Linked DNA regions of Schizosaccharomyces pombe. The gene in region 3 interacts genetically with the main gene of each other region. Each region holds a gene or a part of one and is shown on either strand. Other genes may lie near its edges. The genes, in order: SPOM_SPCC4F11.03C, oca2, mtl3 and irc6.

Region 1 (6,495 bases), on a different chromosome or scaffold from region 3:
GGTACAAACATTTCACTCTTTTTAAGGTTCTTCGTGAGTGTTTTCGGTATTTTTATTTACAATTGCTTCGCAAATATTATGAATGTACTTGCGTGCATGCATTGGTGTTTATAACAAAGGCTATACGTTCACCAAAAAAAATTTATTTTACCCTTTTATCGTCTTTAATTTTCGATTTAAAAGTCGAATTATAATTATTATTCTGAAGTTACGGGTTGTCTTTATTTTGTCCCGTTCCTGCTAAAATACCATTTGCACGTAAAAATATATATACATACACTAATTGTACCAAGTATTCGAGATTTTAGCATTGGCCTAAACATAGGAAAAAGACAACGCTTTTCTACTTACTGTCTCAACTCTAGTTTTCATACATAAAGGTGCAGAGCAATACAATCAAATGATACTCACCGGATAAAGACATGCAATTGTTTTTTATAATTACCGTTTATAGGTTTTTTGTTGAATGATCTGGAAATGAATGACTATAGTAATAGATAATAATACATGAAAAAAACATTGACAAATTGAAACAACCACGTTAAACCGATCATACATAGCTGAACTGAAGTCAACTCAACTCATTTTGTCATGGTGAAGTCAAAGTTCTCACCAAACAAGTCATTTATGCTTTCAGTGGTTGGAATGTCTGTAGGAAGATTTAGAGCGTTGTCAAACGTATTAGTTAAATGCGAAGCAAAGCTGCCATCATTACCGAACGCAGCACTGTAGTTTTCTTGTGCTTGCAAGTCAATTCCCATTTGCTGGTTAGGAAACAAAGAAGCCGATCCTGCAGTACTTTTATTTTCAGAAGATGGGGAGCCAAACAAATCCAAATTACGGGAAAGAGCTGAATTGGAAGTACCAAAGTTGTCTTGCGGAGAGGTAGAAGAATTTCCAAATAGATTCGGTAATAAAAACTCACTGGCCTGCAGATGAGCATCTCCCGATGCATCCGTATTCATTCCAAATTGGAAGGAATCGTTGTCTCTTAAATAATTAGAAAAGTTTGAGCCTCCAAATTGCTGAGATGCATCCTTTGTTACGTCTTGATCATTTACAGTTGTCTTAGGTGGCATATTTGGATCTGCTAAAGTCCCATTAGTTGTTTTTGGCATCCTATCAGGAAGCTGGATTGATGATTGTTGGTTCAAGTTACCCAGTAACTGACTTTCGCTTAAAGAAACCTCTCCCGGTTTCGAAATGTTCTCAGAATCAAAAGAGGAAGTGAAAAAGTTATTGCCCGAGGGCAAAGATACATTGCCTTGAAGACTGTTTGCTCCAGGTGGAGTAGCGCTCACGAAAGACGCGAACTGAGATTTCTCCTCTACCTCTTTTGCTTCCAAAGATCTTAAATCGCGCTCAACAACACGTTTTGCTTCAATAATGCGTATTTCTTCCAAATCGCAATAATCCTGGAATTTTTGACATGCCGCCTGCAACTGACTATGGTAAAGAGCATTGGGAACATTAGCCAAAAGGGAACGAAGCAAATACCCTACATTTAAAAATATTTCATCCAGTGCTTCACGAAGGGGCGTATTAGGTTCTTTTACTCCATTGGACTTTTGTTCACCTTCCGCATCCATGGAAGGAATAACAAACAATGGGAGTTCTATGCAATCACAAAGCTGAATAGATCTGAACAACCTTTTAGTTAAATAGGATGTTCAAACTTTTGTGAACCAGCGAACTCTGCCCTAGAATTCGCGTTCGCGTACGTAGCTTGTGTTTGGTGGTGAAGGTTGAGGCTCCTCTATATGTGGTAAGATTTCATAGTTCCTTAACGAGTTTCAACGCAATTCTCTATGCACCGTCTCGTAATCACAGTATAACAAGCAATAGCAAATGTTCATTGAATTCCTAATAGTAGAACGGAAAAGGGGATGCTCATTCGTGTAACCATTCAATATAAATTGAAACGAAGTTGCCTGTTCACACTAGAGCTTTGAAATATCATCTTTAGGAAAGAAGACGCATATTTTACGGAAACGTACAATGCACAAAGTTAGACGTCTTCTTGAAGAGCAAGAGGAAGTGTAGGTTGTTTACGTTTCGATGTGACAAATCTTTGGACATAACGGCTGTCCAACAGCTTGGAGAAAAACATATAGCTAAGGATAAAGTAAAGACAAAATCCTGCAACGATTACATATGCAAGGTGACGGTTAGCCCAAAGGATAATGCCTGCATCGTTATTATGCCATGACGATCCTTCATAAAAGGTGAAATAAGAGTCGTTGGAAAACTTGTAATCCCTTTCAAGTAAAACACGAATGTGGTCGTAAAATGCGGGTGGGTTGGGTAGTTGTCTTTTGTACTTTTCCCAGAGAAAGCTGATTGAAAGGGGACCGGTACTCAACATGATAGTCAAGTAGGGAAGCCAATATGACTTCGCATTTTTTTCGAGGTTTTGAATGATCAGTTCGAAGTATGGATGATGAGGAACACTTCCCATAACATCGTTGGAAACGCCTACAGGGTCGGTCCTGCGAACCCATACGGGATAATAGAGAAGACTATCTAACCGTTGACGACATCCATCGTCCAAATCAATGTAATTTCCTCCATAATGATAAAGAACGAAGTACCGAATAACATCCGCTCGTTGAACATTGAAAGGGTAAGCATCGAAGTATGGCAAAAACCAAGGATAGTTATCAGCAATGAAATTACGAGACATTTCATCAGTCCAAAGGATGTATTCGTAATCTGGGTGTAAATCTATGCAGCTCTGTTGAGCACCTTTCCATCCTTCAGGCACTTCTGTGGTTTTCCAGGTTTGATGAATGATTTTTGGAATAACAGGTTCCCCTGAAATATCGTTCAAGGAATCAAGTTTCAAAGTTGGCAACGGTTCATCTTTGGAAGGAATTGAATCATTAAGAACTTGGCGTAAATATCTTAGTTCTTCGGAAGGAATGATGTCCTTGGTACATCTGTCTGCAAACATCAAGAATTCATTGTTGAAGTAAAGAACGATGGAACTCATCAAGAAAAAGTTGACGGCAGCAAAAACTGCAAATTTATATATGACTTTCACCATCCTAACAGTTTTCTAATATCAACAATGGGTTAACAGCAGAAGGGGCAAAAGTATTTTTAAAAAGATTTAGAAGGTTTGCACTTGCAATCCGAAAAACGATAGAGTGTAATGTATACAGTAATGAATGGAGAGACGAACTTGTTAGCAACGAACTATAGTCCAATTCTAATGGAGACTGTTCTGAAGAAAGAGAAAACGAAAATGGAAATGCTAATCTAAACAACTAGGGAGTAAGTAATCCTTAGAAAGCTTCAAATGCTCGTGACAGTACTAAATGCAATTTTATAAGGATGAATCAAGAAAAACGTTTTGTTTTTCAAAAGAGAAAAACAGAGGAACTTTTTTTTTTACTTTTATGTTTATTCAAAGTGGAAGAAAGATATTACCCTTTCAAGACTTCAGAATAGTAAACAAAGGCTTCAGATGATGCGAAATTTTGAAGTGATTGCTATTATTAAAGGAGTTTTGCTTGATAAAATAATAAATAAAAGCCACTCTGTCTTTGTGTTCAGGCATCACCATGACGATAAAAAAAATCATGCTATTATTTTTTTCGTTTACACTGAATCTTGAAGGCGTCTATATAAAATCATACGAGAAGAAATTGACCAAAACTAACATTTTGTAAACATAAAAAGAGTGATATTTTGAAAGGCTTGATGTAAGGAAAATTTGGTAAATAACAGCCATGTAAAACGGTTTAATCTTTTTTGATGGATCTTTGAAAAAATAAGTTTCCACAATCACAGACTGTAATGTGAATATGATTTCTTAAAGATTTTTAAACTGCGAATTTTTTTTTTGTTGTAGTAAGCGGCGCATTAATCGATTTCAACTGTTGCAGTTGCCTTTAAGAAAGTATTTTAACTTTAAGCCCTTCTCACATTAAAGGAAAGACATACATGCATGCCCGCGTCTCCTTAATCAATACAAGTCGGTTTCCCCACAATTTTTTTTCTCAATACACTTTTTAGATTTCGCACCGAGGTGGCGAAAGAAAACCAGTCATAAAAGGTCCGAGGTTACAGTGTGCATTATTACCAATTTTCCGCTCGTTGCAGAGGAGTGTTTGATAGCTGAGCATTGTTCACTCCTAGGAATCGAGACCTTGGAGAATATCCCTTCGGCTAAGCCATGAATGTTACCACAGTGACTCTGGAGGGTTGTTCGCTTCTTGTTGGTAATGTGCTTTAAGCTTGATTTTTTGCATGTCTGTAAACAATGGAGCAGACAGCTTGATCATCAACAAGGGAAAGGTTTCCACGTTTGCGGTTCCAAGGAGGTTGATTTAAAGTCGATGAATATATGGAGATCGATTTACTCAGTTTTTCGATTAAAAGAATACTCAACCTGAGCGCATTCATTCATATCTACAGTCGATATTTCAGACCTGACACGTTTCTTTGTTATTAAGTCAATTACCATTTTTGTATATTAACGGCTGATTTAGCTAGTAAGCAATCGATAACAATGTCTGTAAAGAAGCCATACAAGCATCCTAATTGCACAAGTGTTATTCACATTAATAGAGTAGCTATTGTTATTGAACAAGAAAAAGGCAAAAAATCAAAGCAAAACTTAATTCCCAGCTGAAAGAGTCAAATATAATAGCCGTATGACTTTTGGTGTTTAAATGAAATTGCAGAATAAAGCCCGTTAGAATCATCGTATATATATATATATATACCTACTAAGAAAAGTGCATGAATGAGCATTTACCATGCATGCATGGAATTAGAATATACTATATTTGTTGTTAAAATAAAAAATAAAGAACTGTGTTATCAAAATCTTGAATGTTTGATTAAAATTTTGCAAAGACCCATTTTAGCAAATGCTATTTTGTGTGTTTACTTTTCACATAACTATTCTTTTTTTCCCTTTAAATGTTTTTATTCCATCATTTGTAATATAAAGACATATAAATCTACTGTTTCTATATCAACTTGACCTATTTTCCTTCTCAGTTTTGCAAATTTGCAACGTTGGTGAATTCAAAGAATTGAGTACGCGAAGATGATGGATTCATTGTGTTTACACTTCCCGGGACTATAAAAATACAGTAAGCATTTACATTTTAAAATTAACTCTAAAAGTACTCGTTTTTGGAGCTTTGAAATTGGACACGTTCTTCTTCTCTTCCCTCTTCATGAGAACACCTCCATTTCGCAATTAATCGAAAAGACAGTTTTTGAAAGATGTTGTTTCCTCTTGGGGTTTTAAAAGTTAACTAACAAGAGGTATCCAAAAGGATAGGACAAGCGTTACTGCAGAATTACTATTCCAGATTTAACCTGCGTATTATGTTTCAACATTAAAAAAAAAGTTCAGCAGAATTAAACAATCGAGTGTGACCTCGTTGTAAGTCTTTAGAAACGATCATCAAGCTTCTTTTCTTTAGACTATATTCACTAGTACATGGATTGACAATCTTGACACTGTACATGAAAATTTCTATCCCAAGCCGTAATTATATGGCTTTAATCGACAAGAATACTTCGTTAACCCCATCATCGGTGTTTCTTGTGTTTCAACCTTTAATGCATTGTTATAAAGTCTTTGATTGGAAAGTTATCACCAGTGTTGCGAACGATGTTAATATATTGTTCTTGTATTAAGCATTTTGCTGCTTCGACCATCGACACACCTCTTCCTTTACTAAATATAAACAACTTCCAGAGTATTTGCCTTCTCTCCATCCTTCATTTCAGCATGACTTTCTTCAAGTCAAGTCTTTGAGCACATATTTCCTTCAGCTCGTACACGTTCTTACAATTGTTTTGTTTGAATATATCCAACACCTCGTTTGCAACAACCGTCGACATGCATCTCCAATGGAAGACCGAAAAGTAAACAAAGCAACATTTTACTTGTTTACCTTTTGTTGCGTCATTATTTGCTCTTTTTAAAATAGCTTTGATACCTCGTTTACCACCGTGGATAAAATTTTGTCTGGCTTATGGATGACCGGAAACTAGTCGTCTCATCTCATTTTCAATGATTCAATTAACAGTTTCCTATAACATTGGATATGGATTTTTGATGGTGCCTTAATGTGTACATCTGACACATCAAGGAGGTACTAAAGTAATGTCCTTTCGGAAAATTTCGTTAGACCAGATATTGGCCTGTTACTCAAAATTTACACAAGTATTAGCGAGCTGAACGAATCCTGCTTTGTTAACTAATTATGTGTTAACGCATGAAACAATGCTGCGCCCATGTGCACGTGACGGTACTCTCCCTTCCCTTTGTTGATGAAGAGCCGAGGAACCCGCCCTCAGCTTTACAAACCTGCCTCCTCCCAACACCATCCCATAGCATACAAATAAGTGGGACTTTCAAGTTAAAACTTGTTCAAAGGTTTCTAACCAGTGTTTTTAATTTTAAATAGAAACACTTTCTTTTCATAAAAAGGTATGTTCTTTTTTATATTGTTTTCGTTAGTA
Region 2 (9,890 bases), on a different chromosome or scaffold from region 3:
ACTACTTTTACATTAATAAAGTTCAAGGACGTGATGGACTTTTATTTGACTTTGATAAGCTGTCATGCTCTAGTCCAGAAATGGTTGCAACTACACAACTTCCTTCTCAATGCATTCCTCATCTAGTTCAAAAATCATATTATTTACAAAATCGCCATGTGTTTCCATGTGTGCATTGGGAAGTCTTTGATTCTCGAAAAGATTATTCATTGGAAAAGCATGCAACTGATCCTAACGCTGCATTATTTTACCGGCCCTCATAATGCCTTTTAAAAAGTTTTCGATTTTTTTTCTCTTGGTTCTTTATTTTTGTTTTGCATACTCATACTTCCCTCATCGACTAATTTAATAACAATTTCATTACAACTATATTGTTTTTATGTTTGTATTTTAAACAAATGAATTGCGCCAAACATATAACTTGATAAGCTATACAAAGAGAGAGACTTTGGTAAAAAAGAAACAGATATTATCCACTAAGTATTCGCAATGGGTTTTAGTATTTACACTTACTACTCTCAACATCACTCCAACCTTGACTGAAAACCTTGATTTCATTGATGTGCTATAGGATATTGTAAAATAAAGTAATTAAAAAATTAGCAATTCGCTTTTGGAATTATTAAATGTTTCCTTTATTATTGAATTCTCATATTTCTGCTTGTTTTTATTTAATGTATCGCAGCGTTGGTATGCAAATACATAGTATTTGATCATAAACATATTAACGATACGTTAATTTGCGGTGGATTATACTGTGCTATTTAGGTATACAATTTTTGGTAAAGAAAAAAGTGATCGTGACTGAATGATGAGAATAACTATTCTATTGTAAATAAGAAATGAAATTCGCTTTTCGTTCTCTTGGAAGTATAAGCATGTCGCTTTTACGAATGTTCACGAGTCTCTAATCCTTTCGGTATACTGTAAACAATCTAGTATGTAACGTTTCATCCACCATTTTCAAGTTTTAGAATTAGAAAACCAGTAATACAGGAAATATAAGATGATACTTTTTTCTAAAACAAATAAATATGAAAAATCGACCTTGATGTAAAACGAGAACCTCTTTTAAACAATGCGATTTCCCAATATCCTAGTAATTAGCCCATTTCTGTTCAAAAAAATCAAATGGAAAAAAATAAAGTACTCAATTGTATTGAATAAACTATTTCACCCTCCAAACTAGCCAACATTCAGCCCAAGCAAAAAGTAATGCTTTTTCCCATATCCATATCGCTTGTAGCTTTACATGAAAGATTGGCAATTACGCAGTTTGCAAAATGCTTTTAAGGATACGTCAAGCTGCGAAAAAATTACGTTCCTACTAAGTCCTTATGTAGTTAATACCGCAGTATAAAGATGCGTTATCCATCATTTTTTGGTTATAATTCTACAAGCGGTGAACTCAACTAAACATCAGAATTGTTCATAAGCTAATATGGAAAGGGATAAAGGCGTCGCTCCAATTGTTGTAGAAAATGTTGCATATAATGAACAGGTAAGAAATGATTGCAGAGCTAGATTTTCTTGGTACTAGTTTTTTTAAGGATTTTATAATTGAGTGCTAATGAATCCAAAGGTCGTTTCTTTTGTTCGAAACTTGACTTCTAGTTTTTTCGGGTGCGCAGCTGGTATTTTGGGTTTAACTTCATATGAAGGGCTTGCTCTGTATGTACTCGGTTACTTCTTCGTCTCCTTTCTACTCTTTGCATTGAAAATGCGTGGTAACTTAACTAAGTATTACCAGCCCGGATATAAGTTTTGGATCGCTAAAATATTAGATGGCGCACCTTCTTATGTTTTAACTTGGACATTGTTCTACAGTTTAGTATATGGTAAGAAACTTGCTCGATCGTTGCTATTTTATTTTGTTTGAATAGTCAGATCTCGCATTGAAACAATTACACGCTAACTAAGTCATTAGTTTATGAGTAATGTGTTTAATTTGATTTATGCATTTGGCAATTAATCCAAGATGAACCCTCCTTATTCTTGTTCAGCCCTTTCGTTAATAACACATATACCTCATTAAGATCTATTGTTTGAGAAAAAAGTGGATCTCTTCCTTTTGTTCGTGAACCCATCCTATAAATATTTTGTATTTCCTAATAAAACACAAATCTAACTGTTTTTTTACATTTCTTTACTTTTCCTATAGAAAATAGGATATTTGTTTAAAATATATTTGTCCTGTCAGCGATGCTAGAACATAGCACACACATTCCGTTGTATTCATGTCGTCTTCCTTAAATTTGATTTCGAAAACTTTGCATGAGATATGTTCTACTTCTTTAAGAAATTGTCTCTAGTGCTTAAAAACTAGCTGCTTCAGGGCACATGGATGCCTAGGCATTTATTTTTTGAACACGTGTTTTACCATTATTATACAGTTGAAGTAAACACTGCATATATTCAATATTTGCAACAACTTTGACAACGGTTGAAAAGGACAAAATATCATATTCAAACACGATCTTTGAAAATTTTGAGACTAATGAATTGTATTGTATTATCTAAACTTACTAAAAAATGAAAACCAAATTCAAAGATGCGACAATTTTACATTTATTTTCAAAATTGTAGAGATATTTTTAATCTACCACAGTAGATTTCCCCTATTTACCATATAAATAACTCATAAACAAGCTAACCTCACAAAGACAATAATAATAATATAATAACCAAAGAAAGAAAAAAAAAATCACCAACAATCATAAAGTTGAGCTGATAAAAAAGGGACTGACTATTAAATAGAGGAGATTATAGTAAGAAATTGAAATGTCCCTAATAATCAAAGAATAAAGTATTTTTTAACATAAAAAAAGTCTGAAAAGAAAACTAAGTTACACCGTCAACGATTAAGAGATTAGCTCATTAACAAGCCACCACATTATTCATTTTTTGGTATCGTTTAACAGATCACCAATATCCAAGGCGACTTTGTAAACAAACGTGGGAAAGACAATATAAGTTTTTAATGCTTTGCAGGTGGAGCAGGTGACTCTTCTGAAGCCACCAAATTATGGACATGTGTTGGAGAATGAATAACTTTACCATTTTCCATATGGCACATCGAAATATCATTAATCCAATTGTCTGCAAAGACCCTGTGAATGTCGTAACGCTTAACAGGATCCAACTCCAACATATGAGCTATAACAGCACGAGTTTCTCTTGGTAGTAGGCGCAAAAGTCTCCAGGGTCCATACAACTCTTGTTTATGAGTTGAAGAGTTATCAGTTTTAGAGTTTGGACTATGTGATTCATCGGTTTTTCTAATAGGTTCGCATCCTTGCTCGACTAAGCGCTGTTTTTTTATGTCAGCAAGTATATCACTGGGAGACTCAGCATCATTTGAAGGCTGTTTCATACAAAACAAACGGAAAGAATTGTCTGAAAGCTTGGGATATTTCCAAGGAAAGCGGCGAAGAGCCATACAACAGAAAATAATGGCGGAGGACCAGATATCCACTGCACGAGGATCATATAGTTTCCGGACCAAGGTTTCTGGTGCAAGGTATGGATCCGAACCGACAACACCAGTGGCCTCAACGATATCGGCTTCAAAGGGGTATTTGAAAACGACAGCGCTACCAAAATCAATGATTTTAACAAAGCAATTACTATCCACAACCAAATTATCGAGTTTCAAGTCTCGATGCGCCAAACCCATCGAATGTAAATAGGCAACACCTGAGAGAAGTTGTTTGAAACAACAATAAACTTCAGGCATTGTCATCTTACCACTCATTACGATGGAAAACATATCGTATGGAGCATATTCCATAACTTCATAGAATTTTTTATTTTCCTCAACAATATCAAGGGTCTCAATAATATTGGTATGGTGCAAAGCACTACCAATACAAAACTCAGCAGTAACCTTTCTGGCATATTCACGCTCGGTTTCAGTAGGCCTTCTTGCACGGAATTCTTTGACGGCGAAAATTTTACCATCAGAAGATCGCTTCATAATACGGACAGAACCGCCTGCACCAGAGCCAAGCATTCTTCCAAATTTTCCGTATTTTTTGAAAAGACCGAAATGATCATCTTGGAGGTTAGCGGAAGATTTTGACTTGGAAACAGATGGCTTTTTCTCCTTGTCTGTCTTTTGATGGGATTTGAAAAAGCGACGAAGATCTAAAGAACTATGATGTTTTTCGTGCTTGTCATGCTTATCATGCTTGTCATGATGATTAGGAACAAGAGATTTCAACGATAAACTACCAGAGTGTCCATGATGACCATGCTTTCCATGATGAAGACCCAACTTTCTGAAAATGAACTGTGAAGGGATATCATGTGGATTTGTCTTAATAGGAGCACGGCGGGTGCGTCGATAAGGATCGTTGGGATCGCCGACAAGGTCTTCTGAAGAAGGGTATGCCTGAAAAATGGGGGAGCGATGATGCTGAGTGTTAAAAGAGCCTTCATCAGATTCGCCTTCACCACCACTGCCGCTGTTTTGTGAAAGAGCAGGAGAGGTGTAACCAGTCGAACCTGAAGGTTTAGGACTAGCAGCATGTAAAGCATTTTCAGTACGAGGGGGAAGGACGGTAGAAGAATTAGCAGAGCCATGATAATCATCTTCATCCTCAGAGGTGATAGCGGAAGGGGGAATGGAAATAGGTTCGAAGTGACGTGCAGCAGATGAACGATAACGATCCTCGGCAAGTTTAGGGTCAATGTGATTCTTTATATGGACGGGGGATTGAACTCTGGGAAGAGGATGATTCATATCATCGTCCGTATCAGCGTGCTCAGAAAAGTCGACAGGATGCAAACGCTGAGGAGGGTTACGAGGAGGACTCGTTATTTTTAATTCAGTGTCAAGTTTATTTTCCAGTGAGGAACTGGAATTGTCTGATTTATGATCGCTATCCCCATTAAGGTTAAACTGTACATTGGGAGGGGTGACAGACATGTTCGTAACGGCAATCATGTGCAATTGTAAAATAAAGAAACAAAAGAAATATTCTAGTTCACTGAAGAGCAAACCACCGGTAAGATTAGAGAAAAAAGTGTTTTACAATGAACCAAACAACAAGTGGAAGGTTTGGTAAAAAGGTAAAAAACAGGGAAGAAAAAAGACAGAAAACTTCAGAATACAACAAGGAAAATACAAAAGAGAAACTTGAATGAACTCAAAGGAATGTAGTTGTTAAACTATTTAACAATACAAGTTTTCAAGTACGACACAAAACAATTGCGTAAGAAAGTACGATTCAAAGAGGCAATCTCAAGACGGAGTGAATGGGAACACAAGAAATAAACAAACACGTCAAAGAGAAAGTAGAGAAAAATCAAAGATTTTTGACAGATATTAGTTTGTAACGGAGATACTGTCAGACGAGATGGGAAATTGAGGAAATGTCAAGCGAGTTTTTTTTAAAACAACGGATGACAAGGGAAGAATGAATAAATAAATATATAAATAAATAAATTCCAAGTAAGAAAAGGGTTGAAGAGAGAAAAGAAATAAGTATTTCCTAAGAAGATAACTTTTTTTTGATGGGAAATCGAGCGCTGACAACAACGAATTGGTTATTGTTTATGGAAAATTCTTTGGCGCAACGACAAAGGAATGAGAGATTTCAAGAACAAAAAAAAAAGGAAATAAGGAAGAGGGAAAAAAAACAATACTGGAATTAATTGGGAATGGGGAACCTTTTTATAGGTATATCAGTAGATATTTTCCAAAGGGAGAAATTCAAGGTAAAGTGAGCCGACGAGACGATCCGATCGATCACGACACACAAAGAGGAAAAAAAAGAGGCTTTAAGAAAAGCACACAAAGGAAATAAAAAAAAAGAGAAGATAAAGAAAAAGTGTGAAAACCTTGGGTTCAAATAAAGTATGAAAAATGAGAAATGAATTGAGATTACGAAACAGGAAATTCTATGTATTCATAGAAAATAGAACGTACGTAAAAACAAAACAAAACAAAAAAAACAACAACAAAGAACAAATCAACCCAAAAAGGGAATTCGAAAGAATGTTGATTGAAGGAAGAATACCAAGGGGGAAAGAGAATCACACAATTCACTCACTCACTCACTTTCGGGATACCGATCACACCAAATAACGAAACGGAAGAAGCCGGAAAGAAGGGAGTGGAATAGGAAGGGTGAAGGGACGAATGGCAAATTGAGTAGAAAGAATTCGACTCAATGAGGATGGATGGATGGATGGAAAATTAAGGGAATTGGAAAAAAGCGTAAATGAATAGAAAAGTTGGAAATTGATTTGTTGTTTTTCAGAAGAAATCACAACAATAACAACAATGTTTTGATGGGAAATAAGATCTTTATGCTTTATTCAATCTTTATTTTTTCGTTTACTTTCTCAAAATTCTTTCAATTCCTGTTTTACCCAGAAAAGAAATCAAAGGCAGATAGACCAAAGGGAATCAAAGCAATGCAATGGACAAAAAAAACTTTCGTTTTTCGTATCGTATCGTATGGTTTGATTTGCTTTTGCTTTTGCTTTGTTGAGTCAAAGTTGTTGGACTATGACTGACGGGGGAGTGAAGTAGAGCTTTTTAGTATAATTCAAATCTTACAATGAATTTTTTTATTTGCTAGTTTAAAAAAAAAAAAAAAAGACGACGAGAAACAGGTTCAATTCCTTGATAAAAAGGAATCAATCAATGTGGCTCTCAACAATACTATGAAAAAAAGTGGATGGGAAAAGGCAAAAAGTATTGCGGTGCACGGCAGGTGTATATAATATATGTATACGAAACACGCAGTCTACTACAGCATCTCCCATGTAATCTCGAATGGCCGCTCTACATCAACTGCCGAGTCGCATTGGATGGAGGAGCTAGCAAATCCACACGATCTCCGGGAATCCCACCCATGCAAGTGCCGAAGTATGATGTCACTTTTAGTTCGGCTACAACGTGTTACCTCCGGCGAGCGACTCCACAATCCGTTGCACCGCGCTAAACGCTGAGAGGAAGAACGAAAGGCTAAACGCTAGCAAGCAGGGGGGATGACGTGGGGGAGGGCGAAAGGGAGTTGAGTGAGCGAGACAGGCGGTGTGTGGGGCGAGAGAGGGGAGTAGAGGGGAATAGCGAAGAGGAACGCGACCTCGTTGGGGAGAAGGAGAGCGAAAGAAGGTAGATGGGGGGCGATTGAGAGTCGAAGGAGGAATTGAGATGGGATGAAAGGGAGAGGTTAAAGATGAATAACGTATAAAAAAAGAGATTGTTATAAGAGATAGAGAGATGGAGAGAGCTAAAGAAAAAATTAAAGAGGTGGAAGAGTAGCTAGAGCTAAAGTGTTGAAATTAGCTAAAGTATGAAATTCACTAGAGTGTGGGAAATGTAGATAAGTAAATGATGATTGACATGTTTCATTCAATACTTTGTATCATCATTTGTCAGGAAATTAATTCCGTTGATGTTATCATTTCATCCATCTGCCATGGTCATTGCTTCGTGCGACCGCCAGTCGCTTCCTTTTCCATTGAATTTGGATCCGACCGTTTGGTGGAAATTTGGCAGAGGATCAATCGGAAGGAATGATCGGGTTTATTAAAGTTGAAGGAAAGAAGGGAAAAAAAGTTAAACACAAAATAAAGTAAGGAGGAGGAGGAGGAGGAGGATGAAAAAAAGAAAAGAAAATTTCAGCAACCCAAATCTAAACAAGGGGAGGGGGAAAAAAAGAGCGGCAGTAAGCAAGAGGAATGGGAATTTAATTAAAGAGGAATAGTGATTTGATTAAAGAGGAATAGTGATTTGATTAAAGAGGAATAATAATTTGATTATAAGAAGAATAATAATTTGGTTCAATTCAATTCAGTTTGATTCAACTCTTGTTGCTTCTCACTTGCCTTTCTCTCTCCTGTTTATTGCACACACTATTCCTCGTTTGTCATCTCGCCCATCCAGCATCCTGACAATGACACTAGTACGAGGGAAAGACATTGGAGCATTTCTAGAGCAAAAGCAAAAGCAAATGCAATTACAATTACAATTACAATTTTATTTTATTTTTATTTTTATTATTATTTTATTTTATTTTATTTCGTTTAATTTAATTTAATTTAATTTAATTTAATTCGATTTTATTTATTTTCTTTTAATTTTTCCTTTGTTTCCTTTTCTTTCACGGCCGCCCTACAAAATTTTCTTCTTCCTCATCCAAACAGTCAGACGGCCGAACACAAAACAAGAGCAAATGCTAGATGCTCATGAAAAAGTAAAACTAAACTCGATTGACTTTTGAGACTATATGCACATCAGCCTTTCCTTTTGTTTGTTTTTTTGTTTTTTTTATTCTTTTGTTTTGTTTTTCTTCTCTTTACTTTTCTTACCAGCCCTAAAATTCTGTGGGTTTGTGATATCACTATATTTCGTTATACCACTCTTTTAATGACATCTGTATATCTCGTTATCTTCATCTTTTCAGTGACTTCGCTGTACCTCTTTATATCCCTTTGCTACTTGTTTAGTTAGTTGGTCTAGTTTTTTGTAGCATTCGTTATTAGTAAGATCCTTTTGTGGCTTTGTTTGTACTTTGCTTTGAATCGAACGGTTTTTCCTTTTATTTTTTATTTTTTATTTTTTATTCGCTGGCTATATTGCTTCAAACCATTTCTTACATTCGAATGGTTTTTTTGTTTTTTAAGCATAAAAACATATAACATTCACTCTTTGACTAGAATTCAAAACAATTGCCAACATCTTTTTGATTTTTCTTCTTTTTCTTTTCCAATCCATCAATGTTTCTATCAATGTCTTACAATTCTCTCTCTATCCATCTTTCATCTCATCTTTTTCTTCCTCTTATTACAGACAGACACCTTCTTCGCTCACTCTTTCCTACTCTCTCTCTCTCTCTTCCTTTGGCCGCTCCACGTTTCATTCCATTTACCGGCCTTCCTTATTTCTCGGTAATGGTTTTTCCGATCGTCACGGTATTGCTCTTGTCTCTTTCTTTACCCACCTTGGCGCGCCCTCGGCACTTGACTTGACTTGATTGCCGACAAAGTCAAGGTGTAACATAATGGATCTGCCCCATCAAACTTTTTCCTTCCTCCAATCGTTGGCCTTAAATTTACTTTTCTTCCAATAAGCTTTTCATCTGCGTTTAAACATTTTTGCTTCGGTTGATGCATCTGACGTGCTTGGGTAACACCTTTTGCTCGTTGGAAGATTTTGCACTTGGTTTTCAATTTCCGCTATACTTTTGTTACCGGTCTTTATCATACTTGCACTATACAATATTATCGCAAATATTTAACGTCTCGTTGGTTTCGCCGAAGGACCGCCCCGCGGCTGTCTCGGTTCACTCTCCAACAGTACTCCAGACTGTGGTAACGTGTTTGTATGCAGCGTAGAAGGATTTGTTTATAAGATTTCAATCTTTTTTCTTTTTCTTTTTTTTTTCTTGGTTTTAGAATTTTTATTTTTATATATTTATTGATTAATTGATTTACTTATTGATAGATTGGTTGGTTCATTTTTTTTCTTTCATCTTTTTCCAATCTATATGTATGTGTATATAAATATTTTTTATTTTATTATTTATTTTTTATTTATTTATTTTTTTCATTTCCCTCTATTTATTCACTCCGGATCACTTCCATCCTTATGTTATTTTAAAAAAAAATTTTTTTTTTCTTGTTCTATACTTCTGTTTATTTTCATGTCCTTTTCATTTCGTTCAATTAATTTCATTCCATTTCCTTTTCTAATATTTTTTTTCCTTTGCGATCGCTACCTTTTCCATACATATCTTGTTTTTTCCTCCATAGTATCCACCTTGTAAAACAAAATTCAATTAAATTGAAAAATTAATATTTTTAACAAATTTTTGAAAAGTTCGAAACTGCTGATTTACAATTTTCATCCATTCTTTGCTTTCCATTTTCTC
Region 3 (7,736 bases):
TCAATTTGCTTAACTCCAAGTCGACGCATGCTCATAAGTACTTCTTGACGTAAAAATTTGGGTGCTCCACAAGGATGCCATTCATTTGGACCTGTACGAACAAGGCCACCCTTGGTAGCAATTATAAGTCCTTTGTAAGGGTATAAAGCTTCTCGTAAAAGATTCTCGCTGACCTCAGGGCCGTAAGAATCGGCGGTATCAATAAAGTTAATATTGAGTTCAGGCAAACGTTTTAAAGTTGCGATGCAAGCCTCTTTGTCTTTGGGTTCATCCCATATACCATCACCGGTAACTCTCATTGCTCCGAATCCCATTCTATTGACAACCATGTCGCCAACCTTGACAGTCCCAGCTTGTGAAGCATCTACGGCGGAAGAAGCTGCAGTTTTACTCATTTTTGTGTCTTTTGTCGCTTTTCTTAGAAATCAAGATCAAGTACTATAGTGGATCCGGTAAGTGTGGGATGTCAGACGCCGTTTCCTTTTATAGTAATTTTACATGGTGTATTCCTTACATAAGCTGGATTGATGCGGACTATCTTAAACCACGAAAACTGATTTATTACATACCCTATTTACAGAATCCAGTGGTATGATGTAAGAGCGCGTTAGACAATATATTGTCATAACGATGACTAATACTATTATAGTACGATATTGCTGGTTGGATTTTGAATTAGAGTAAATAGCTAAGTCCTTTTTGATTTGGCTCTTATTCAATTTAATGATAATTTTATGGTTCCAAAATCTGATGCTGGATGAATTGTCTAAACTGTATCTCTGTCTTCTTTTGCCAGCCCATTTTTATTCATGAGCAACGATGGTCGCACATAACGATAATGATCTTTATTGCTATGTTTCTTTCTATTCAAGATAATGTGGATTTATATTTTCCATCTTCTTGAATTATGCTTGATCGTGCTATCAAATCGTACTACGAGTTATCATTTGGAGACCACAAATGGGTTGACCAGTTCCGTAAATCGAGGTAAACATTGCACATAATAACAATTCTAGGACTGTATTTGAAAGGAAACACATTTTTTGAATTTAGTTGATGATGCCAGTATATTATTAGTGTTATTGACATTCAGCAATTTGTTGTGTGTTTTATAAACACACTAAATACTTTGTACAGTTGCAAAACTTGCGCTCTAAAAATGTTTGCACCGCACTTTTACAATGGCTATTTACTCTTACTATTGTCTTCGAAAAGCTTATAAATTTGGCTGCTAAACATGGGTCGGTAGCTCAAATCGTAGACATAACCAGTCTTTTAAGGTCTCAATTACACCCATGTACGACTTTTAAGGAGGAAGTTGGTAAATAAAAAAGTATATTTGGTTTTCAATAATTACGATTCATTCCTTTCTATCAAAATGAGACGATGTCGTTCTTCGGCAACCTTAAAGAGTGTAGTGGAAGTTACTGAGCCGATCATATCTCGTTTAGAGAGTATAAAGACAATGATTTCTCTAGCTCATTATCAAAGCTTAACGAGATATAAATCGCAGTTGAGACATGAATGCGCTAAAGCTCGAAAACTTGGTTACACTTTACTTCAAATTTGGTAATTACCAAAAGTTGTGCATTGTGGGTACTTGGCAGTAACTGATGATGGAAGAGGATTTATATGATGAGTAAGTGGTCTAAAAACATTTTATAGTTATTTCTAACTCGCCAGGTTTGGAAATTACATAGGCCCTGAAAATGAAGAAGATGAAGAGGAGCTGTTTCCTCAGGCTCCTAGCCCTACAATTGCACAGGTACCATCCTTTGAAGAGGTCATTCCTGATGAAGAATTAGAAGACGTTGAAAGGGCCGAGGAAATGGCGTTGAGTCATCTAGAGCCTCAGAATGCCGTTGTTCTTCACGAGGATAAACAATATTATCCTAGCGCTGAAGAGGTATATGGGTCCAACGTGGATATCATGGTTCAGGAACAGGATACTCAACCCTTAAGCCAGCCCATTATTGAGCCAATTCGTCACAAAAGGATTGCTATAGAAACAACAAACGTCCCAGATACTGTATACAAGAAAGAGTAAGTATGTGTAACAATGTCTTTTCTAACTTTTTAAGGTTCCTCTTCGGTCTCTTAACTGGGACAGATGACGTTAGATCTTTTATTGTTGCTGGCCATCTGCATCACGGCAAAAGCGCTTTATTAGATTTACTCGTTTATTATACCCATCCTGACACCAAGCCGCCAAAAAGGCGTTCACTTCGATATACCGACACTCATTATCTTGAAAGAGAACGTGTGATGTCTATAAAAAGTACTCCACTTACGCTCGCAGTTTCTGATATGAAGGGTAAGACGTTTGCATTTCAGTGCATCGATACGCCTGGTCATGTCGATTTTGTTGATGAAGTCGCTGCTCCTATGGCCATAAGTGATGGTGTTGTATTAGTCGTTGATGTTATTGAAGGTGTAAGTTATTCTGGCCTTTTCTTGCGTTTTGAAGATATAAAGATTCTAACATGCTTTAGGTGATGATTAACACCACTAGAATTATCAAACATGCGATTCTTCACGATATGCCAATTGTGCTCGTCTTGAACAAAGTTGATAGGTTAATCCTTGAGCTACGTCTCCCTCCGAATGATGCTTACCATAAACTTCGACACGTTATCGACGAAGTAAACGATAACATTTGCCAGATTAGTAAAGATTTGAAATATCGCGTTTCTCCTGAGTTAGGGAACGTTTGTTTTGCTTCATGTGATCTTGGATATTGTTTTACATTGTCTAGTTTCGCAAAACTCTATATAGATAGACATGGAGGTATCGACGTGGACTTATTTTCTAAAAGATTGTGGGGGGATATTTATTTCGATTCGAAAACCAGAAAATTTGCCAAACAGTCCTTGGATGGCTCTGGCGTTAGAAGCTTTGTCCATTTCATATTAGAACCGTTGTATAAATTACATACCCTTACTATTTCTGACGAAGCCGAAAAACTCAAAAAACACTTATCTTCTTTCCAAATTTATTTAAAACCCAAGGATTATTTATTAGATCCTAAACCACTCTTGCAACTAATTTGCGCATCGTTTTTTGGATTCCCCGTTGGTTTTGTGAATGCAGTTACTAGACATATTCCATCGCCTCGAGAAAATGCCGCTCGTAAAGCCTCTCAATCATATATTGGGCCTATAAACTCTAGTATCGGCAAGGCTATCTTAGAAATGAGTCGTGAGGAATCAGCACCATTAGTCATGCATGTTACTAAACTTTACAACACCGTCGATGCTAATAATTTTTATGCATTTGCTCGTGTATATAGTGGTCAGGTTAAAAAGGGTCAGAAAGTTAAAGTTCTTGGAGAAAATTATTCTTTAGAAGACGAAGAGGATATGGTGGTTGCTCATATTGCTGAAATATGTGTACCTTGCGCACGATATCGTCTTCACGTTGATGGAGCTGTTGCCGGCATGCTAGTTCTTTTAGGAGGTGTTGATAACTCTATTAGCAAAACAGCAACCATCGTTTCGGACAATTTGAAAGATGATCCTTACATTTTCAGGCCAATTGCTCACATGTCCGAGAGTGTTTTCAAGGTGGCTGTAGAGCCACACAATCCATCAGAATTACCAAAACTACTTGATGGCCTACGAAAAACAAACAAAAGCTACCCACTATCTATCACAAAAGTAGAAGAATCTGGGGAACATACTATTTTCGGTACTGGTGAGATGTATATGGATTGTCTACTTTATGATCTTCGGACTTTATACTCTGAAATCGAAATCAGAGTTTCCGATCCAGTTGCTCGTTTCTGTGAGACTGCGGTGGACACATCAAGTATCAAGTGTTTTTCAGATACTCCAAATAAAAAAAATCGTATCACAATGGTAGTTGAGCCATTGGAGAAAGGAATTTCTAATGACATTGAAAATGGAAAAGTTAATATCAATTGGCCTCAAAAAAGAATCAGCGAATTTTTCCAAAAGAACTACGATTGGGACTTACTAGCTTCACGTTCCATCTGGGCTTTTGGTCCCGATGATCGTGGTACGAATATATTGCGGGATGATACTCTTAGTACAGATGTTGATAAAAACGTGCTTAATAGCGTAAAAGAATACATTAAACAAGGTTTTCAATGGGGGACTAGGGAAGGTCCTCTATGTGATGAGACAATCCGAAACGTGAATTTTCGCCTGATGGATGTAGTGCTTGCACCTGAACAAATTTATCGAGGAGGTGGTCAAATTATTCCAACCGCAAGGAGAGTGTGTTATTCTTCTTTTTTAACAGCGTCTCCACGGCTAATGGAACCAGTGTATATGGTTGAAGTACATGCCCCCGCTGACAGTCTTCCTATTATTTATGATTTATTAACGCGTCGTCGTGGTCATGTCCTCCAAGATATCCCTCGGCCAGGTTCCCCATTATATTTGGTGAGAGCACTTATTCCAGTCATTGATTCTTGTGGATTTGAAACAGATTTACGAGTGCATACTCAGGGTCAAGCTATGTGTCAAATGGTATTTGATCATTGGCAGGTAGTACCTGGTGATCCACTGGATAAGTCTATCAAGCCCAAGCCATTAGAACCCGCACGTGGCTCTGATTTGGCGAGAGACTTTCTGATTAAGACAAGACGTAGAAAAGGTCTGGTGGAAGATGTTTCTACAACTCGCTATTTCGATCAAGAAATGATTGATTCTTTGAAAGAAGCAGGTGTCGTACTCTCTTTGTAATGTCGGTTTTAAGTCTTTATAATGGATTTTGCAAAAAAAAATAAATTGGGTAGATTTTAATAATAAAGTATACGATTATTTATGAAAGTTCGAGAAGTCTAACAACTTTTTTTTGCTTTCAAATCTCGCGTTTACAGTGTATGAAATCCGAAAAATCAGCGCATATCTTGAAGCCGTAAATTATTTGTGAAATCCTTGATCAGAAGGAAAAGTCGCATTTTGGTTTTACGATTTTAGTATATAGATAAATAACTTCTATTATTTATTTTTTTATGTTAAGAAACTAACACTCAACTGAAATAACGTAATTTCATAGTACTATAAACACCCGAGGTCATATGTCATGAAGTTACCCTCTCAGTATACCGGAAGACTTTAGGGACATATACAACTTCCGGAAGTGCTCTGCTTTTGGAAGTAAAATACAGCGAGTTTAGTTAGATTAGTTTATTATTATCCTTAAAACTGAAGATGGGTTTGAGACTTTTGTTTTCTCTCATTTGCGTATTTTGCATATCGAACATTTTTACGCAAGCCTTCTTGGTGCATCAAATATATGGTAATTCCAGCTTCACAAAAATATCTTTAAATCAACTTGAGGGCAGAGATTCTCAAGAGGAACTACAAAGGCGTCAGGAAATCCGATATTATGGTCGTGCCGCTGAAACTGGAGGAACTCCTACTTACTACGGGTATGCGACACCCACTAGCTCTAGTGAACCCAGTATCTTTTCTGAATCTGCTACTCCCTCAGAAACTAATTCTTACTCGTCTCCGGTCAGCTCTTATTCTGATCCCGCAACTAGTCAGCTTCCCTCGTCGACTTCTTTCTTTTCACCTACTTCTTCTGAATATACGCCTTCTAGTACGGAATCCAGTTCTCTTCTGGACCCAAGTTCTGTATCATCAGCTATTTTACCAAGCAGTACTAGTGTTGAAGTAAGTATTTCTTCATCAAGTTTGTCATCTTCTGATCCTTTGACTTCTTCAACTTTTTCCTCCTTGAGTTCAAGCACTTCTTCAAGTCAGCCATCTGTGAGCTCCACCTCTTCTTCAACCTTTAGTAGCGCAGCTCCTACTTCCACTAGCTCCTCCTATTTGTCTAGCTCAAGTGTTGTTTCTTCATCGAGCTCTCCTTCATCCTCCTCTAGTTCGACACTTACTTCCTCTTCATTAAGTACTTCTTCTATTCCTTCTACTTCTTCTTCATCATCTTCTACTTCCTCGTCCTTGTCTTCTTCCTCTTCCTCTTCTACTGCTTCATCTTCGTCTTCTTCTTCTTCCATTATTTCTTCGTCCTCCTCCTCTTCTTCTTCTCCCACATCTACCTCTTCTACTATTTCTTCTTCCTCCTCTTCCTCTTCTTCTCCCACTTCAACCTCTTCTACAATTTCATCGTCGTCGTCGTCCTCTTCTTCTTTCTCTTCCACCCTTTCTTCGTCTTCTATGTCTTCGTCGTCGTCGTTCTCTTCTTCTCCTACTTCTTCCTCTTCAACTATTTCATCATCATCATCTTCTCCTTCCTCTTCTTCTTTCTCTTCTACTACTTCTTCCTCAAAGTCATCTTCTTCTTTCTCTTCTACTGTTTCTTCTTCTTCGAGCACTTCGTCTTCTACGTTAACAAGTTCTTCTTCTTCAAGCTCTCGTCCCGCGAGCTCTTCATCTCATTCCTCGTCTTTGTCAAGTCATAAATCATCCTCGTCTTCTAAATCCTCTTCTGCTCCAGTATCTTCAGCTTTTTATCACAACAGCACCTCTAGCAGAAGCTCTAGTCATTCATCTAGCCATTCATTATCGAGCTTGAGCTCAAAACCAATTCTGACTGCTAGCTCATCTTCACTTCTAACTTCTTCAAGCCATACATACGAAAGGTCAACTGTATATGTGGTTACGGTGGAAACTGTTTCTAGTGGATCTAGTACTTATGCATCTCAGTCAACTCAAACTAGCATTTTGTTGGTCATTGTTGGTGATAGTTCATCGACAGACAGTTCCGGGGCTTCTTCAACTCATAGCAAGACATCGATTTTCTTTAGTTTATTTGTTGTTTTAGCTGCTGCGATTGTTATTATTTAATTTGCCGAAACGCTCGGTCTAAAATTAGATTCACTAAAGTTTTGAATCTTTAATGCTTCTTTTAATAACGTGAACTGTTTATTTTATTTTTTTAAGAAGCTACAGAATGGGTTGAAACCACGCGGATCTTGTGGTTTATTAAACGTTTTGATACCTATATTTATTACTATTAAACCTGGCTTATATCTTTGCTTGGCGGTCTGCTACTTAAATTTTTCGTCGAAGGCTTTTTTGATTTTATTTGTAATTTATTTCAGCAATTTTAATGTCGCAAATTATTAGTAAATAGCGACTCTTTTGATAATTAATGTTTTGGACCAAAATTACAAAAATATTTTTTTACTGAGAATTCCACTGGATTAGTAATTAATATAAATTGATTAAAAACACGATCAATAATGATCGATTAATAATTAATATTGGTTGAAATATCATTCATTAAAGTTAGCTGAGTTCAAAGTATTAGCGAATGCAGTTCCGTGATTAGGAATTAGGATGTAGAAGTTGATGCATTAAAGAAAGTTAATAAAACGAGATGAAATGAGAGAATATATGAGATGGAGAAAAGCAAATAACAAAAATAAAACGATAACAAATACAAATACAAAGCCAGATCCATAGTTATCCCAGGACTGGATCTTTTCGAAGTTCTTCATCGATAACTACAGCACTTGAAGTATTGGAGACACTTGCTGCTTTGGGGAAGCTTTCATCCAATGACGGAATTGCATTTTTCAAAGGCACCGAAGGCAGCACATCGACGCCAGTGGAAGGAGTAAAGCCTGGTTTTTCTAAATCCTTCACCTTTTCATCCTCCTGCTCTCGAATTAAGGAGTCTAACTCTTCTTGGATTTCATCTTCTTGATCTCTTGACATACGACCTTGAAGCATGTCATTTACCTCATCCACATACGACATTGCTTCATCTCGATCGTTACATATTCTCCCAAC
Region 4 (4,409 bases), on a different chromosome or scaffold from region 3:
TCTTTGTTAATGTCGCTCGCTTTTGATGCTGGTCTAAAAGCAGTGTTATCCATTATTTGATTTATCATATTTATACTCAAAAAAATTCAAGACAGGAACTTGATATTCAAGCGCTGATGTTCCAATTACTCATTTGTGAAAGTTTAACTTCAGAATCTAGCGGATTTAATAAATACAATCCTAATTCTTCAACAATTGTACTATCAAATATCGTCTAGTATTTTAAATTCATTTTCTGTGCTTTAATAAAAAATCCATATCGTCTACTAGAGGCATATTTTTTTGGTTCTTCTTGCTAAATTAAGCTCGTAAAATTCCTCTATTCGCCATATCTTCTTTGGCGTTTGATCTTCTCAGTAAATTATCACATAAGGTCATTTCCTTTTTATAAAGATAATGTGTAAACAAAGAAATGCGACTTCTAATTTACGTTTCTTTACTAGCCATTAGTTTATAAATAATAAAGCATACTGGACATTGCCTTAAAAATGCACCGAACTGTTGGTCTGCGGTATTTTGATATACAGCAATACATTAGAGCTTTATATTAAATAATACCGTTTCGTTAATATATGCAAGGCCAAAATATATACAAATAAATCGACTTAATTTTTTGCCCGTTGTCAATTACTTGACAGGAAACAATTGTGTATCTTTTTTCACACATCAATGCAATTTAATGGAAGCAATGGAATAGATGAAAGCAGTGTAATTGATTTGACGAGATCACCTTCTCCACCAGTCGAAACTTCTATTTCTTCAACAAATATCATTGATTTGGATGCTATTCCTGATGACAGCTTTCCATCATCTCCTGTTCTAAGTCCTCGAAGAAGGCGTATGAACCGGAGAAGGAATGAACGGTCTCGTAACTTTCCTTCAAATCATTTATCGTATTTGGAAGACATGATTTACTTAGGTCCTCAGGTGTCCACTCGTCGTTCTTCTTCACGTCGAGATTTGATGGGAATGATTGCCAGGACATTTCCTGAGTTTAGTTCTGTTAATTCCTTATCCCCTTCTCTTTTCCAGTTGATTGTGAACCGAATGAGATTTGACGCTATACATCCAGAATGGACTAACGGTTCAGACGACGAATATTTCTCTAACCATTTTGAAGAATCATATGATGATTTTACTTCTTCTTTAGAAAATATAAAACAGTCTTACAAGCCTCCAGGCCCTCCAAAATCTGGATTTACTAGAAGCTTTAACAATGATACATTGATGGTTTGTCCAAGATGTCAGGAACCATTAGGAACATCCAAAAGCAAAGAGAAATCTGCATTATGGGCAACAAAGTGTGGTCACGTCTATTGTGGCTCTTGTGCAAAAGTTTTGAAAACCAGTAAACGATCTCAGTCAAAATGTCTAGTGAATGACTGTGGCCGTTATTTAAATACGAAAAATGCCATGTGGGAATTATTTTATTGACGAACCTTGTACATTGAAAATGTAGTCCATTGTGTTGGATTTATAATGTCTATAATAATGAAATACGACCAAAATTATCACAATTTGTGACTGAGCTTTACTTACGAATTTTTTTTAAGTTGCTAATAGGTCCTCTTTCAATACAGCAGATTTAGATTTTAGTAAAAAATACTTTGATAAAACTTAATTGAACCTTTCTTGCAAACTCAAATAGTTATTATACATCAATTTGTGCTCCAGCGACAACATGTATTCTCCGGATACGAACAAAGGCCTTGTTTCTACAGCGATTCATAATCATTTTCCTCGAATTCATCGCCTAACAATTTTTCTAAAAGATTTAAAGCCTTGGCCTTTTTCTCATTTTTTTCCAGGTCAGCATCTAAATTTCGTTGTTAGTTTAGTCGACTCAAGGAGTTACCAACCTCTAATTTGGTTCATTTCTTTCATCAAATTATCCAGATCCGTCGATTGCATGTCTGGACTTCCTTTGAATCGTTCCGGGAGATAGAAATCTCCGGCATCATCCTTTTCTTCCGAGAAACTTTTATCAACTTGTGACAAGTTCCATTCGCAGCAATCGAGAATTTCTCGAACACGGTCCAGTCCTACTTTCTCTAAAGAGACTTGTTAATAAATAGAAGATTGGTTGACTTTACCATTGAATTCATTCACTCCTTCCTCGCTGATAGAAATATATTCTGGGGTAAACACATCAGGTGGTTCTAGTAATTTTTCATCTGACATGTGCAACCCAATTACCGGAATCTCTAGCTGTAGTTTATCTATAAAATTTTTAAAAAGAGACCACTCAGCTTCATCAAAACTTCGAAAAGTATATACAATGGCACCTAAGCTATCAATAACTTCCTTCGCTTCTTCAGAACTATAAGCATCCAAAGTTTCAGCTAAATTAGAATATTCTTCAATCCAAATACCAACCGAAGCTTCAAAATATTTATTTCTGATATTATACTTATGAATCAAGCCAGAATGATCATTGTTAAATGCCTCGTCATCTAACCCCTTCGGTAAAGAACCCGTCAAAGCTTTTCAATTAGTAATTGCAAATAGAACACTAATATTTACCCTTAATAAAATCTAGCTTTCCAGAATTAGAGCGACCTATAACCAAAATAACTCGCATATGATTTTATGTACTTAGCAAAAATTAATTCGCTTTTTTATATTTTCAATCAGTTCTGTAGAATATTAAACAAGTTTTTGGTGGATAAATAAATTCTCGAAAGACCTAAAGGTAAGGCAAATTGTGATTTTAACTACAGTCTAACAGTTTAATGAAACAAGGATTGAGCAATAGTATAGCGCAGTGTGATACATTCCTAAATCAATAATGGTTTAGTTTATCACTAACGAAGGTTGGTACGTAATTTTACGTGTCCCTAACTCTGTGTTATACGCACACGCATAAATGGCTTTAAATACCAAGACGCACAAAAATTAAAGTTGACGAATTTGTCGTGCTTTGGAGTGACTTAGAATTTTAAATGCAAACAATAGACTACTATATATTAAAAGAAATATGTCGTTCACAAATGCCACGTTTTCGCAAGTGCTGGATGATTTATCAGCTAGATTTATCTTGAATTTACCAGCAGAGGAGCAAAGTAGCGTTGAACGACTTTGTTTTCAAATCGAACAAGCTCATTGGTTTTATGAAGATTTTATACGTGCGCAAAACGATCAGTTGCCATCACTAGGTTTGCGTGTTTTTAGTGCAAAGCTTTTTGCTCACTGTCCTTTATTGTGGAAGTGGAGTAAGGTCCATGAAGAGGCGTTTGATGATTTTTTACGATATAAGACTCGTATTCCTGTCCGCGGAGCTATAATGCTTGATATGTCAATGCAGCAATGCGTACTTGTCAAAGGATGGAAAGCATCATCCGGCTGGGGATTTCCTAAGGGAAAAATTGATAAAGATGAATCTGATGTTGATTGTGCTATTCGTGAAGTATATGAAGAAACAGGCTTTGACTGTTCTAGCCGTATAAATCCTAATGAATTTATTGATATGACTATACGTGGACAAAACGTTCGATTGTATATTATTCCTGGAATATCTTTGGATACAAGATTTGAATCTCGTACAAGAAAAGAAATTAGTAAAATTGAATGGCATAATCTTATGGATCTTCCTACATTCAAAAAAAATAAACCTCAGACCATGAAAAACAAATTTTACATGGTAATCCCATTTTTGGCGCCATTGAAGAAATGGATTAAGAAGAGGAATATTGCCAATAACACTACCAAAGAAAAGAACATTTCCGTTGATGTTGATGCTGATGCTTCTTCCCAACTGCTTTCTCTTTTGAAATCTTCGACAGCACCTTCAGACCTTGCTACTCCGCAACCTTCAACTTTTCCTCAGCCACCAGTTGAATCACATTCTTCTTTTGACATTAAACAGAAAATCTTGCATTTATTAAATGAAGGAAATGAACCTAAATCTCCAATTCAACTTCCTCCTGTGTCGAACCTTCCTCTTAATCCCCCCATTCAAAGCAGCAATTCTCGTTTATCGCATGATAATAACAGTTTCGATCCTTTTGCTTACCTTGGATTGGATCCAAAAAATCCATCTGCTTCTTTTCCAAGAGTTGTTTCTCAAAACAACATGTTAACTAATAAACCTGTGTTGAATAATCACTTTCAGCAGAGTATGTATTCAAATTTACTTAAAGACCAAAATTCTGTTCAGCATTTATTTGCCGCTAGCGACATGCCTTCTCCAATGGAATTGCCCTCGCCAAGTACTGTTTATCATCAAGTTTTTTATCCTCCCACTTCGACTTCCGTTAGTTCCTATGGTTTAGGCAAAACTCCGCAACCAGCATACGGATCTTCTTCTCCCTATGTAAATGGTCATCAGACTCAACAAATTTCTTCTCTTCCTCCTTTTCAATCTCAGACTCAGTTTTTAGCTCGAAATTCCGATAACTCAGGTCAATCAT

What was found.
Region 1: mutations in mtl3 (region 3) and SPOM_SPCC4F11.03C together harm fitness more than expected from each alone (negative genetic interaction), as found in Schizosaccharomyces pombe (one large-scale study listed by BioGRID).
Region 2: mutations in mtl3 (region 3) and oca2 together harm fitness less than expected from each alone (positive genetic interaction), as found in Schizosaccharomyces pombe (one large-scale study listed by BioGRID).
Region 4: mutations in mtl3 (region 3) and irc6 together harm fitness more than expected from each alone (negative genetic interaction), as found in Schizosaccharomyces pombe (one large-scale study listed by BioGRID).

Annotation. Positions count from the first base shown.
Region 1 is NC_003421.2:2,006,151-2,012,645, forward strand, and holds SPOM_SPCC4F11.03C (uncharacterized protein), read right to left. Parts: upstream 1,590-6,495; coding exon 582-1,589; 3' UTR 501-581; downstream 1-500. Other genes in the region: mannosyltransferase Imt2, read right to left, coding at 2,009-3,046; SPOM_SPCC4F11.05 (uncharacterized protein), read left to right, coding at 4,352-4,451, 4,497-4,639.
Region 2 is NC_003421.2:755,924-765,813, forward strand, and holds oca2 (serine/threonine protein kinase Oca2), read right to left. Parts: upstream 6,702-9,890; 5' UTR 4,931-6,701; coding exon 2,978-4,930; 3' UTR 2,445-2,977; downstream 1-2,444. Other genes in the region: xap5 (splicing factor, xap-5-like protein), read left to right, coding at 1-263; protein Emc6, read left to right, coding at 1,442-1,501, 1,583-1,838, 1,928-1,938. UniProt on the Schizosaccharomyces pombe protein: Overexpression causes cell cycle arrest.
Region 3 is NC_003423.3:4,050,988-4,058,723, forward strand, and holds mtl3 (protein Mtl3), read left to right. Parts: upstream 1-5,060; 5' UTR 5,061-5,180; coding exon 5,181-6,785; 3' UTR 6,786-7,236; downstream 7,237-7,736. Other genes in the region: SPOM_SPBC215.11C (aldo/keto reductase family protein), read right to left, coding at 1-395; GTPase Cwf10, read left to right, coding at 1,614-1,639, 1,684-2,043, 2,082-2,433, 2,493-4,709; ESCRT III complex subunit Vps20, read right to left, coding at 7,407-7,736.
Region 4 is NC_003424.3:2,463,520-2,467,928, reverse strand, and holds irc6 (recombination protein Irc6), read right to left. Parts: upstream 2,705-4,409; 5' UTR 2,582-2,704; coding exon 2,524-2,581; exon of another isoform or gene 2,484-2,523; coding exon 2,094-2,483; exon of another isoform or gene 2,052-2,093; coding exon 1,860-2,051; exon of another isoform or gene 1,817-1,859; coding exon 1,716-1,816; 3' UTR 1,435-1,715; coding exon of another isoform or gene 670-1,434; 3' UTR 501-669; downstream 1-500. Other genes in the region: SUMO-targeted ubiquitin-protein ligase subunit Rfp1, read left to right, coding at 670-1,434; mRNA-decapping complex catalytic subunit Dcp2, read left to right, coding at 2,978-4,409.